Lytechinus pictus: one gene and its partner. The main gene of each other region encodes a partner of the protein of the gene in region 2 in a complex. Links are inferred from orthologs where the notes say so. Each region holds a gene or a part of one and is shown on either strand. Other genes may lie near its edges.

Region 1 (7,188 bases), on a different chromosome or scaffold from region 2:
GGGCAACTACCCCTGAACAATTACCCCCCCCCCCCCCCCCGTCCTCTCTTAATACTTATTTTGCACAAATTCTACAAAATTATTTTCAAAATAACAATTTAAATTTCATAATTAACAGAGCTCAAATTGTAATTAAAAAAACTATACAACGGCTGAAACATACTGTGTCTGAATACCGAGACTAATCTCGAGCCCATCGCAGCGGGGATGGCATCACTCACAGCTGTTCGTATACGCTCAAAACAACCCTTCTCGATCAGCGAGTCAGATTCACAAACGCCTAACAACACTCAAAATTGAAGTTCATTTCCGCTGGCTCTTTACGAACCAAATTCAATTCAACTTTCACAAAATGTTCTCAAATATTCAATTTCATTAACTTAGGGCCTACCGAGTTTCAATAAGATCCGATGATTACGGGGTGATTTCAACTTCAAGCAAAGAAAAATTTATACCTTAATATTAGGTCCTTCCATCCCATTATGGTAAGTGAAACTCAGTGTTGTTTATTATCGATATTTGCCAAAGGTGTACAAAGCAACCACGGGAATTTTTGACCAATCAAAATCAGCAGAGTAAACAGTAGAGGCGCACGGCCAATATTTGAGACTGTCTCCAATGTGGGAGATTATCTCCAATATCAGAGACTTTTGTAAAGAATTTGGGTATCCAATTTCAGAGACAGTCTCCAGTTTTGGAGTCCAATTTCCTTTGTTTACATTTGCTGCAAAAGGATTAACTTGGCGGCAAATAAAAATGTGATAAGCAGATTCCTCATGAAAAATTACCCCTTTTCACCGTCTACTTTAAAAATTCACCGTCTACTTTTGTTTTGATAAGGATTTTTGTTGTCAATCACACACAAAACAAATGGGCTTCTGACCTCAGCGAGACAAAATTTTGGGTGGAAAAAATCATGCTTTTGTTGGTGTTGTTTCTTTTGTCCTTTTGCAAAGCAAGTCTCCAATGTGGGAGATTGTCTCCCCTATTGGAGAGAGTCTCCCATATTGGCCGTGCGCCTCTACTGGTAAAGGAAGAAACTGACTGTTTTATTGAGCAATTCCAAATGCAACTCCAGCACTCAGCCGAAGTGCCGAGCGGAGCGAACCGTGTGTGTTAGTCATGTGCTCCCCATTCACTGCAATGCGAAAATGTACGTTCAGCGCTCTGTCCGCACGATCGCTCGCATTTGAAGTTTTAGTGACTTTTAGTTTTACGACTGTCTTCGAATTATTATTTTTTTTGCGTTCTTTGACTTGGAGTCGGACTCGGAAACTGTTACCAAACGTGATTTAAGATCATTAACAAATTTGTCTTGAGACTTGAGTCTGAGCATTATCTGATTATAGAACTGTTAATGATATTTTTAAAAATAGGAATAAAATAGGTCTTGCAGGTAATTTCATTAAAAAAAAAAAACTGGCCACCCAGCCAGCCACACGTTTCACAACGCATGGGACCGAACTTGTTTCTCATGCATCCATACATAATTATAAACAACCTTTTAAAAGCATTTCATAGCATGAAAGTGGCATACATACCTGGGAATCTGTCTTGGTCAACTCAGAATTTATATTTGACGATGATGGTGACAACATATTGGTCATTTTTCTCTCTATTGTTGCGGGTTTTCAAGTTTACCGCTGCTTTAGTGGCCGTGTTTTTTTTTATTTGTTCTGTCTTCCTCGATCGAGAGAGGGCGTGTACCAAGGCCCTATAGGGCCGGCCTTGTAATCAACGAAGTATTGTATTTCTGTGATTCTATAAATCCCTATCTCAGAAAATAAAAAAATTGTATGATGTGCATACTGTACAACATGTACAGGCACGGATCCGGGGGGGGGGGGGCTGAAGGCACACGAGCCCCCCCCCCCCGTAGGATTTGAAAAAGAGAGAGGCAAATTGACCTTACATATCCAAAACCTTTTCTTTTTTTTTTTCTTTTTTTTTGCTTGTTAGTTATACTTGGGCGGACGAATAATATTGACCTTAAATTTAGGGGACAACATTTTTTATTAGGTATTTTGCTTGTCAAATTTTCAACGGGTAAAATATGGCACCCCTTTTTGAAAAAATCCTGGACCCTGTAGCACACCAAAAATTTCAACTCTGGATCCGCATCTAGTGTACCTGTAAAATGAGACAATATTTTTGCTTTCTTCAATAATATAATCAATACATTTTGGATTTTGTACCATTGTTTAAAAAAAAGAGAAGTCGCTTTGTCGTATTTCATGTATTATTTAGCCTATTTCATTCCGTGGAACTTGCCCTTGATGCCTACTTTTCATTTCTTTCTTTATTACCTTTCTCAATCTTTATTTACCTTTCCATAGGCTAAACTTAGTTGCACTGAGATTGGGGAGCCATAAAAATATATGAAGATATTTTTTGTATTTACTTGTTGGATTTTTCTGAACGAAAATACCCCCTTTTGGAAAAAATTGATCCGTTCCTGCCTCTTTTTCCCCAATTATAACAAATAGCTAGACTCGACGCTGGGTCAGATCTTTTTTTTGGGGGGGACAGGTTTTTATTGAGAAAAAAATATAGGATAGCCCAGCATTTCAGTACCAGACGATTATGGTTATCCCTCAAACTATTGTGATTAATCATAGATTTTAGTTCCGTGAATGATATGACGGGGGGGGGGGGTTACCTTGTTATAGCTATTTGTCGATCTTCCTTTGTTATTTTTATTATCAATTTTGTATTGTTATATCGATACACCTATTTGACAAGCGGCGTGCCAATTAATTTCATAATGAAACATTGTTAAAAAAAATCATTATTTTTAGGACGTCGGATTAACACTATTTTTTTAAAGGTATTATTATCTGAATAATTGCACCGCCGCTGAAATGTTTTGATTCCTTGATTTTTCAATCTTTTCTTAACAATAACAACAATAATAGCGGTATATTATTTACCCAGGGTAGCCACTTCAGTTCCGAAAACTGGGCCCAGCGGGCCCTGCTATTATTACCCCGGCTTTAGCTGAGCTGTCTATATAGCGCTCAAGCATTCAAGGAATTAGTCCTGCCGGGTATACCCATTCACCTCACCTGGGTCGAGTGCAGCATTCTTTAAAAACACAAAAGGCAAACTTGAGGATGGAGGAATGGATGACCGGATGAGGAGTGACAGCACTTTCCACCAAATGCTGTCCCCTTTCGACCCTTTTAGAGCGTGTTGCTCCCTCACCCTTTCATACGGTGATGGGCAATAATTTCTATCTCGCCGATAAAGCCTATATATATAGCACAAATGGGAAAATTTAAAAGGTGACAAAAATATTTAAGGCCTATGAGACGAGCATTGAGGCCAATTAGAGCATCCGAGATCATAGCCTAATTGGTGGCCTTATTATGGATTAATCTAAGCACTGCTTAAACATTGCCATAAGGGATATCGAATGCTGATTCAGGTAGGCCTATTATTAGTGAGGTAGGCCTATACGATTGACACATTTTAGAAATGTAAAAATTAATTAAGATTAAGATTAATCTTGAAGTAAATTACCCCCCCCCCCCAAAAAAAAAAAAAAAAAAAAAATTGGGAAAATCTGATAACAGGCGATATATACTTCAGGAAACGCTAATGAGCTTTTTTAATCATCAGATTTTTAAAGGGAAAGCGGTTTGAGAATAGCGGCTAAGTTTGAACTTTTTTTGGGGGGGAGGGGCCTGGCCCTTGGAAGCGGGGGTGCCCGGGGGGGGGGGGGGGTGACTAAAATGGTGTGCCGAAGCAGCTATCAGCCATTCCCCTGGAAATCAGATTGGTGTACTAAAATGTAGAAACTTGACCCCCCCCCCAAAAAAAAAAACCACACATTTTGATCTTAGAGTGATAATCTTTATTTTTGCTTGTCATTTTTCCCCCGTAAAAAACCGTTCCCTAACATGAGGAGGGGTGCATGGAGGGGGGGGGGGTAGGCCGGGTTGTTAGGCCCAGACCTTTTTTATTTCTCTATTCGATTACGAGTAGTGCATAATAAAGCAGAGTCTGAAGTAGTGAGACTAGATTTACAATGTACTGTTGTTGCCTCTTTTTATAGAGAAAGAGAGTTTTGGAGAAGAAGGGAGTGCATAATTATGAGACTCGATCAGACATGAAATCGTATTTGATTCGAGTCTGTTCAAGCAGCTCGTAGACGTAGACTACGCACTGATCATTGGCATGAACTAGTTGAACTGATGAAGCGCTAACTTTATTTTCGAAGGATTTAGACTACCCATTTCTCCACGGATTGATGCTATTTTCACCTCAAGATGACAGATATAAGGATAGTTCCCTTAGGTTTGTATATTATGAGCCTATGTGTTTATATTTGATTGATAGTAATGTTTTTTACCGTGTTACTTTGCCGATTATTTCGTTGACAGTCCCATGTATTGTCATCCATGTTTGTTATAAATTATAATAGATCAACATTGTCATTCACAATGACAGACTGCACGCGTGTATGAGCTGAGCTTGACAAGTTGATCATACGACACTGTCAATGATTTGCAGGATTTTAGTGATTCTTTGGTGGTGGTAGCTACTAATGAATCAGCGTCACTAATGCCATTAATTATTTAGTTTTTTCGCAATTTGATAAATGAATTCAATTAGGAATAGGAATTTATACTTATAGGATATTTTTTTCTACTGTTCTATTAGTATAGTTCTCTCAGGCCCCTCAATGGCCTCAAGGCTTCAAGCCAAGGCAGGCCAGGCATCTTTTTTCAGGGAATTATTTTTGCAAATTTGTTTTATCAGCATTGTTTTTTTTTTTTTTTTTTAGGGGGGGAATTTGGTTATAAACTAATCTTAAAGTGACAATTAAAACTGACGATCCTCTGTGCAAATCTGCTTAAAAGATGGAACAAATTACAAATACAATCCAAAAAGTGTTCCGTTGATTGAGGCCAAGTCAATCTTGACGTTCATATGCCATATTAATCAATATAATGATTGTGGGCATTAACGGAAAGACAAGGCAAGGCGGCCAGCTCAATGTCATTTAAGCTTTCCAAGTCAAGTCTGCTGGAGCTGTTCCCACTTGCAATCTTGTCCAGGGGCCTGTAACACAAAGCTTAGCCTTAGCTGTATTAGCAATGGTCGTAGAACATTTTTAACAATTGATTGCATTGACTACAATGGCCAGTCAGTCGTAAAAATCAAGCGTATGATTGATCACTGACTTTTGTGTGACGGGACCCAGATGATGTTTTGTGTTGCTATAAAAATCATTTAAACAATAAGATATGGAAGCAAGACTCCAAAGAGTTTAGAATATATCCTTTTAACATGTTGACTACAAATACATGATTCCCAGTTTGAGTTGGCAATGCTAGTAGAATAAGTGATTGTATGATTTGACATTCATTTTGAAAGGGGCTGGTCAGGATGTTGGACGGAGCTGTATTCTTCTGACGATAGGAAGTAAGAATATCATGCTGGATTGTGGGATGCATATGGGCTTCAACGATGAAGTGAGTATACCTCCTTTCCCCATCCTCCTCTTTTTCTTCTTCTTCCTCTTCTTCCTCTTCCCTCCTCCCTCTCCCTCCTCTTCTTCCACCTCTTTTTATCAGTCATGTCATTCCTTCTCCTGTTTTCCTGTATCTTTTCTTATTTGTCCTCATTTTCTTTTCTTGTTCTCGTGTTGGCTTCTTTCCTTGATTTTGATATTTCCATTTCTGTTATTCTTTTATATTTGTTCTTATTACTCCACATGGGTATGTTTGATTATAAAAAAGGGACTTTTTGGTCATTGTTGTCTTTTAGTATAAATTTCCACTTTCCCTCTTTCTCTCTTGAAAAAAAAAATTCTTAACCATCTTTTTCCTTCTTGTTCTTCCTCCTCTTCAAAACATTTCCATTTTCATATATTTCCGCATATTCTTTCCAAACTTACTCTGTTGTAAATCTCAATACTCTGTTCTTCTGATGACCTGCCACAATATCTAATTTTGAATGTGTGTTTTTACCCTTTTTTTCCCAACAGAGAAGATTTCCAGACTTCTCCTACATCAACAAAAATGGTGGATTGACAGACCATCTTGATGCAGTTATCATTAGGTATTTGAATAGTTCTTGGAATATTTCAAATGATCTTTTTTGGTTTATTCAATTATTAGTTGATTTATTAATTTATTTGTTTTATTTCTGCATACCTGTTTATTTGTTTCTCATGAGTAACATATTTAAGTGTTTATTCACTTCTCTAAGGATTAGTACATGTTTTGGGGGAGTGTATCTAAGAACTAGACAGCATGGGCAAAAATGGGTGGCCACTTTAATTATTACACTGTCGCATGGAAGCGTTGTGGTGTGACCTTTCTGACTCTCACCTTGTAATCATTGTCATGTGTTCGAATCCCACCATGGCCTAATGTCCTTTGGCAAGATGTTAATTCAGACTTTCCCACACTCCACCCAGGTTTATGTGAAAGCCTATGCAATATGCCTTGCAGTTGAGTCTTGGAACTCTTGTCTTGTTGGAATGCTCTCAGGGAGTTGAAAAGTGCTTACCGGTACATTGTTTGCAGGCATGCCAGGGTCCGATGACCACGTTGAAAATAATTCCAATGTAAAGTGCTTAGAAACGCAAAGTTTTATGCACTATATAAACGTGAAGTTGGTTCAGTTGGTAATGTCGAACCAAAGGTCGTGGTGGATTCAAGTCTACCCTGTGCGGATGACTGCGTTGTGTGTAAACATCGCTCCCCTGTTCCATAGATGCAGGCTATGTTACAGTGGAAAACACTCCATCCCTCGGATAGCATGTTAAATGGAGGCCCCGTGTAAAGGAGAGTCGCCACTTTTGCACGTTAAGACCCCACTGCACGTTTTGTATAGAGTAAGGGGAAACCTGTAGTGGTCCACCTGCACTCCCCCCAACCAGTTATATCGAGAGGAGAGACCTGCGGGTCACTTTGATTCAGTTTGCTTTTCACCTCCCGGGCACAAGAGATGCCAAACAAATACAAGCAGCCATGCATATATCTCTTAGTATCACATTTCTTCATAATAAATATTGTTCTCCAAATAAATTGCTTTTCATGTTTTTTCCATCCCCAGCCATTTTCATCTTGATCACTGCGGAGCCCTCCCTCACATGTCTGAGATTGTCGGCTACGATGGACCCATATACATGACACAGCCCACCAAGGCTATCTGCCCCATACTCCTCGTAAG
Region 2 (7,012 bases):
TGCTTTCATGCTAGGTGAAGTAAATGTGTAGCCGCAGGAAAGAATTCCTCAGAAAAAGCTGTGAAGACCAAAATCAGTAGCCTAGAATAGCAGGGTTAACAGTGCTTTAAGCATGTGCACAATATAAATACCCTAAATTTAAAAAATGAAAAACACCTTGGCAGAACAAGCTTCACATTCTGATGGCAAATGCAGAAAGTGGCAAGATCCAAGAGTACAACTACCATATCAATGTCTACTACCGAATCCCCATTATTAGACAACAGTTTCATACAAAAGGCTAGCTGATCAAATTCAACAACGAGATTATAAGAACAAATACTGCAGTCAAGATTTGTCAACCCAACCCAAGAGTATGAAGCCTTTTCTATGAGAATGAAACTCACCCATGATACGCAGAGCCCCAGCACACATGATACAGGGTTCTACTGTCACAAATAGTTTGGTATGTGAGAAGACCTCTTCTCTCTTCATCTGTTTGTCTTCACACCATCTCATTGCTTCTTCTAAAGCTAAGATTTCGGCATGTCTTGTGGCCTACAGTGCAGTAGAATGAACGTTATTGAAATGAGAGGTGTAAGTAACATACAATCTACAAAAGCAAAAATTTAACTAAAATGACCATTAAGACAGATTTACTTGTTCTGTTTTTCAAAAATTCTGCAATAACTTGAAAATTCATAATCAATACGCCTGTATACAGAGCATTTTTTCAAATTTGGGGGAAACCCTGTAAAGCTGTTGTACTTTCTTTTTCAAAACATGGATAAACTGACCTATGATAAGTATTTTCCTTTTTCAATACAAAGTTATAATCTACAAGAGCAATTCAATCCAAAATTCATTGATTATCGGTATATGAATCAATATTAAAGCAATCTAATATTACATGTATGTTGAGTAAAATGAATTGAATAAAGATGTACAGAAAGGTTTGATACAAATCTCAATAAAGTACAAGGCATTGATTTTATTTTATCTTTTTAAATTGCTCAAAATTAGACACATCTTGTTCCACAGTAGAGTATTTGAAAGGTTTGTGAATCTCATGATCTTGGTTTGTAAGTGCTGCATACTATTACCCCGGCTTTAGCATGGCTACCCTGCGGATCGGACGCTCAAGCATTCACAGAATTCCTTCCTGCTGGGTACCTATTTACTACTCCTGGGTGGAGATTGGCAAATGTAGATAAATGCCTTGCCAAAGGACGCGAGTGCTGCGGTGGGATTCGAACCCCAGACTTTGTGGTTCAAAGTCGGGAGACTTATCCAAACTGAGTCACATTATCTCTGAGACCTGATATGAGACCTGGAGTGTATCAATCATGGGAATTCTTATCTGAGTTTCAGCAGGGACGCCCTGGTTTCAGCTACAATGATGGACTTTTCATGTCAATATATGGATAGGATGTGGTAGTACTGCTTACTAATAAATTAAGATTCAAACTTTGCACCCTGAGGTGCAGACTGCAAGAGGTGCAAAATGACATCAATAATATAGTGCTCTGATCCCTTAGTACAAAGTTTTATCTTTTCTGCAGCTTCAAAGTGTGTAATAAGCAGTATAACTTACATTTTTGGTTTGGTTGACAGCATTTCCTCCTGTCCCTATGATCTGATCATTATACACAAGGAGACAACCTACTGGGACCTCTCCTCTACTTAGGGCCTGCTTACCCTGCACAAAAGAAAACATATCTTAATTTCTCATAGGGAACTGACCATTGTTCACTACAAAACATTTTGCTACATCTATTACAAGCAATCTAAAGAGTAGACATGGTAGTTAGGGTTTCTGAGTGTTATTAACATCACTAACAGAACTTTTTAAAAATATGTAACCATTCATTTTCAGTCCCATAGTAATTGGATACAAACCATGCACACTGCTTGCTTCATCCATTTTTCATCATAAGCTTCGTCATACAGTTCCATGGTCTGTAATAAAAAAAGATGATAATTTAAATTGTTTCTTTTCATCTACAAGTTAAATATCAATATTATTTTACTAATATTATTGAACTTTGAAGCTCAGTAGAGGCATACGGCCAATGTTGGAGACTCTCTCCCATTCTGGAGATTATATCCTGTACATCAGTATTCAATTTAAAGGGATGGTCCGGGCTGAAAATATTTATATATCTAAATAAAAAGAGTAAAATTCACAGAGCAAAATGCTGAAAATAAGATTAAAATTGGAAAACAAATAATGAAGTTATTGAATTTTAAAGTTTATCCATATTTTGTGAAAACAGTTATACGCACATCGTCATGAATATTCATTTGGTGGGCTGATTATGTCACATCCCCACTTTCCTTTTTCTTATGTTATTACATGAAATCATAAATGTTTCATTTTTTCATACATGTGTAAATGATATTTCTGCATTATGAAATAAGTTGCGGCAATAAATAACTAATGCACTTAATCAGTTGTCAATTCAATTGTTTTAGTTTTTGGTAGAAAAAATTTGAATAAACCAAATTTCATATATAATAAAATACAAACGAACAAGTGGGGATATGACATCATCAGCCCACCTAATGAATATTCATAAAGACATGCCTATAACTGTTTCACCGGAATAATGCAAATCTTTAAAATTCAATAGTTTTGTTATTTGTTATCCGATTTTGATAAAATTGTCAGCATTTTGCTCTGTGAATATTACTCTACTTTATCGAGATATATTTCCAGCCAGGACCATCCCTTTAAGAGCCAGTCTCCACTATGCAAGATTTTTTCTGTTTAACATTTGCGTCAGAGGGATTACCATGGTGGCAAAATTACTCCTCTTAACCATATATGCTCAAGAATTCTCCATCTACTTTTGTTTTCATTTATATTTTGTTATCATGTGGTTTTGACCTAGCTGCAAATTTTGGAGGGGAATTAACTTTCTAGTTCAGTGTTGTTGCCTATCTCTTTTGCAAAGCATGTCTCCAATATCAGAGATTGTCTCCAAAATTGGAGAAAGACTCAAATATCAGCCATGCGCCTCTACTGCTCATATTTCTTCAAAAGGTTAACCAGACACAGTTCGAATCATTTGCAAGAGGAAATCTTAAAATAAATGTTAAGGACTTTGAGTTTGATGTCTCTTTCTGTATCCAGTGTAGATCTAGGCCTAATGTTAGACATGCTAGATGCCTGGCTAGTGTCTAGACTTAGACCAAAAGCTTCGGTCTCTGTTAATGTTATGTTGGTTGTTCCGCTGAACTCGTTGGCTCCACTCACCAAATACAGAGACCGAAGTTCTAGCTCAATCTGTACAGGGACTCGATGGCCATATGTTTATGTATTAAGTTCGGATAAAACTGGGAAATGAAGTTGCGCGACAGCCAAAGTAAGTCACTGTGTTTCCCCCTTTGAAGTTTTTTCCCCATTTTGGTGCATTTCAGGCCAAAACAGAATAATATAATAATCTTTATTTTGGTACAGTTCTTTTTATATATTTTTATGAAATAAAGACAAAAATCGATGAGCCCCGTCGGGGGGATTTTGCATTGTTAACCCCTAGGGCCTATGCGTGGCTGCACGATAGCGAGCCTAGCCTGGACTCTGGTCCTGGAGGCTAGTTTTCTGGGGAGTAAAAGTCATCTACTATACGGAAGTCGTAGGCTTACTCCAGCCTACGTATAGTAGATGACTTTTACTCCCCAGAAGCCTCCACTCCAGTCCAGGCTAAGCGAGCCGTCTGTGTACGAGGAGACATTAAAAAAAAAATGTTAAAAAACTCCTCGAAACAGATGCCTGCCAGCTCAGCAGCTGTCTAGTCTAGACTATACTAGACACTAGTGGCAAGGCATGGATGCTGATCGAGAGATTGAGCTGAGCCTGACTGAGATTTCACAATTAGTGAAACCTCGGCTCAATCTCTCGATCATCCTTGCCTTGCCACTTACCTTAATCCAAAATTAAAAGTTTACCCTCCTCGCACCTATCAAGTATCATGCCTATCTGTCACTCTTGAGTCTTGGCGTCTTGCTGCTGACGTAACGACCCACTGCCTCAGATCAGGCTCAGATACCGGTAAATCTGATTAAAAATACTCGTTAAGAGAATCTCCAACTGGTACATGTAATGTACCGTAGTCAATAACCAACCCGCGGACAACCGCTGATAAGTACATGACATGAGGTGCATATGGCGTCTGGTTGACCGGCCGCGGCAACAGTACCTGGTACAGGCGCAGGCGCGGTTTAAGTACGGTACCGGTACCTGTACCTAGCGTTACCCGGGCCGGGGGCGCGGGCGAGGGATCCCCCGCAACCACACTCGTCTCGCGATCGATCGCGCCCGTCCTTAATTTCTTCCGTATTTTATTATCGCGAGGATACCGTACCATACCATCTGAACGGTATACCCATCTGAACTGAGCTGAGGCGAGCAAAAGAAAACACTGCAAGAATATCCTGCATTTTATATAAGAAGCCGGAATAGCCAGAATGAAATTGGTAAGAAAACCTATCCGACCTCCTGCCGTTATGTTATTGTTGAAGTGTGTGTTTGTGTGTCTATTAGTTACAGCCAATTAATGATCAGTCAGCTATCAATCATTCACACAAACAACAACATGAATGCTAGCATGTGGGGCTATGTTAATCCAGCAGATTCAAAGGTTCAGTGGATGATCCTGATAATTCATCATCATCATCATCATGTTACGAGGTGAGGTAATCCTGTTGACCTCGATCTCTTCATCTGAAAATTGCAGTCCATCTCCATACGATGTGTTATTACGTCATAAGTCATAAGAACAAAAACTTGCACACGTGTAGGGTAGAGACGGTTTTGATCATTTGGACTTGGAGATTGAAACGCTCAGACCACCAAAACTTATCGAGTCTTAATTTGAATACATCGATGGAGCCTGAGTCAAATAACTTCTTGGGGGAGGCTATTCCAGTCATTCACTACCCGGTTACTAGTAAAAACGCATTTGCGTATGTCGAGTCTTGATCGTTCTTTAAATATCTTTAACGTATGACCTCGAAGATGTGAATTATAGGGACAGTGATTTTCCGTTTCAAAAAATTGCCTTTTCCGTTTCAGAAAATCTCAAATTCCGTTTCAGCATGTCAGAAAACGTAAATTCTGTTTCCCCATAGACTTTGTACACACGGAAAAGTGACAATTCCGTTTACACATTGAATAGCAAAATCACAACACGTACACTCGCACTGGTCAAAATTTGTATCTGCTACTAGCCTGTACCAACAACACAATAGAATCTGTTCTAATCGGATCTATGCGGGTGCATAAAATATTTTTACAAACCCATTTAGCATGCATACATCCTCACCTTTCACATCATTAGCATTATTTCACGATGAAATGATATTTCATCGATAATTTTGGGGTTTTTTGGACATCGTTATCATCAGTAAACGGCTTTTGCCAATCCGCCATCTTGGATTTTAAGACCACGATATCGTGCTGTTACATCTTCTAAGGTAGAGGGCAGCAACACACAACCGTGTAGTTGAACGATATGTGTGCATGTGAAGCCCAACCCGGCCGGCCGGGCGCCGGGTACGGCTACGGTGCGGGGTACAATCGAGTGTGGTGATGTCGAGTGCAGTCACGACGTGTGAATTGTCATGATAGTAGCGAAGTGAGATCGTGTTTTCTGGGGTTTTGTGGCCATTTAATATTCTCATTTTGTTGTGATTTCGGAGTAATTTCTGTTGCTATTCTGTGTATTTTTAGGGAAAATACGTTTTCCGTGATTTTCCGTTTGAAATGCCACTTTCCGTTTCAAAAGGCCCTTTCCGTGAATTCCGTCCGTTTTCCGCGATCGCGGAAAATCACTGTCCCTAGAATTAGTTGATGGCAAGAAAAAGTGACTTGAGTCCATCTTGACCATTCCTTTCAGTATTTTAAATACCATAATGGCATCGCCTCTCCTTCTTCTATAATACAGGGAGTGTAAGTCCAATACTTTTAATCTATCTGAGTAGGGGAGTTCTTTTATCTCCTGCACCATCTTAGTTGCTCTTCTCTGGACTTTCTCAATTTTATCCGCATCTTCTTTCCATTGAGTGTTCCACAAGATGTTGCCATACTCTAGGTGTGGTCTTACCAATGTCTTAAACAAAATTGGTAGGGTCCTTGTGTCCAGTTGAGTGAAAGTCCGTCTGATGATACCAAGGAGCTGATAGGCTTTGCTTACTTCCATTGATATATGCTCATGAAATTTGAGTTCCGAGTCAATCAATACTCCCAGGTCCTTTTCTCTGGTAGATGAGGCAACTTCATCTCCATTCATGTGATATTTATCTTTCTTGTTATTTCTCCCAAAGTGAAGAACTGTACACTTATTCTGGTTGAAAGGAAGTTGCCATTTTTCAGCCCACATGGTAAGTTTGGACAGGTCTGCCTGTAAGGCCTTGGATTCTTCATCATTCCCTACTGCTCTGTACATCTTAGTATCATCCGCAAAGAGTAAGATCCTGGAGTTTATGTCACTAGGCAAATCATTAATAAAAATGACAAATAGGATTGGCCCGAGGATACTCCCTTGCGGTATACCACTCTTAACATCTGTCCAAGATGATGTCACTCCATTTATAGCCACTCTTTGCTTTCTGCCTTTCAGGAAGGCACTAATCCAGGCAAGAAGAGGGTTCTCAATTCCATAAGCTTTCAGCTTCAATAAAAGTCTTTCATGAGGTACTGCATCAAAAGCCTTCTTAAAGTCTAGATATAAAACATCAATAGGTTGGCTATCGTCTAATATCCTAGTCCATTCTTCAATGACTTTGTTGAGTTGTGTAGGTAAATTGTTCACTGCTTGTATTAACTCTAGGCTTTCCAATTATTTGGAATGTGCAGGAATTTTAGGCAATGAGCAGGCAGGGTTTAGAGAAAGTCATAGTACCCTTGATCACATATTTACATTACATGGTTTGATCGATTTGTATCTACACGATGCGAAGAGAATTTACTGTGCCTTTATTGACTACAGAAAAGCCTTTGACCTTGTTGACAGATCTAGTCTCTGGTCGA

Evidence for each region.
Region 1: the proteins of integrator complex subunit 9-like (region 2) and integrator complex subunit 11-like are in contact, whole or in part, in a cryo-EM structure (PDB 7SN8), measured with the Drosophila melanogaster proteins. The link is inferred for Lytechinus pictus from reciprocal best matches to the Drosophila melanogaster genes IntS9 and IntS11. Residues at the interface, in NP_648838.3 of Drosophila melanogaster: Glu128, Tyr198, Asp199, Glu200, Lys201, His230, Asp333, Ser334, Ala337, Tyr338, Asn340, Ile341, Glu344, Gln351, Val354, Tyr355, Leu356, Pro357, Asp358, Asp359, Pro360, Arg509, Lys510, Leu511, Asp512, Arg513, Ile514, Tyr515, Ile516, Ser518; in NP_651721.1 of Drosophila melanogaster: His94, Lys97, Ala98, Pro135, Thr137, His139, Gln140, Ser141, Glu149, Lys151, Lys274, Thr277, Tyr278, Lys280, Met281, Phe282, Ile283, Thr284, Trp285, Phe294, Val295, His296, Val450, Lys451, Ile452, Pro453, Val454, Asp455, Ala456, Ser457.

Annotation. Positions count from the first base shown.
Region 1 is NC_087250.1:18,424,718-18,431,905, forward strand, and holds the start of integrator complex subunit 11-like, read left to right. Parts: upstream 1-4,151; 5' UTR 4,152-4,271; coding exon 4,272-4,299; intron 4,300-5,382; coding exon 5,383-5,480; intron 5,481-5,995; coding exon 5,996-6,069; intron 6,070-7,071; coding exon 7,072-7,183; intron 7,184-7,188. Other genes in the region: serine/threonine-protein kinase greatwall-like, read right to left, coding at 1,542-1,607. UniProt on the Drosophila melanogaster protein: RNA endonuclease component of the integrator complex, a multiprotein complex that terminates RNA polymerase II (Pol II) transcription in the promoter-proximal region of genes.
Region 2 is NC_087245.1:1,541,189-1,548,200, forward strand, and holds the start of integrator complex subunit 9-like, read left to right. Parts: upstream 1-3,969; 5' UTR 3,970-4,449; coding exon 4,450-4,458; intron 4,459-7,012. Other genes in the region: tRNA-specific adenosine deaminase 2-like, read right to left, coding at 387-537, 1,574-1,678, 1,879-1,935. UniProt on the Drosophila melanogaster protein: Component of the integrator complex, a multiprotein complex that terminates RNA polymerase II (Pol II) transcription in the promoter-proximal region of genes.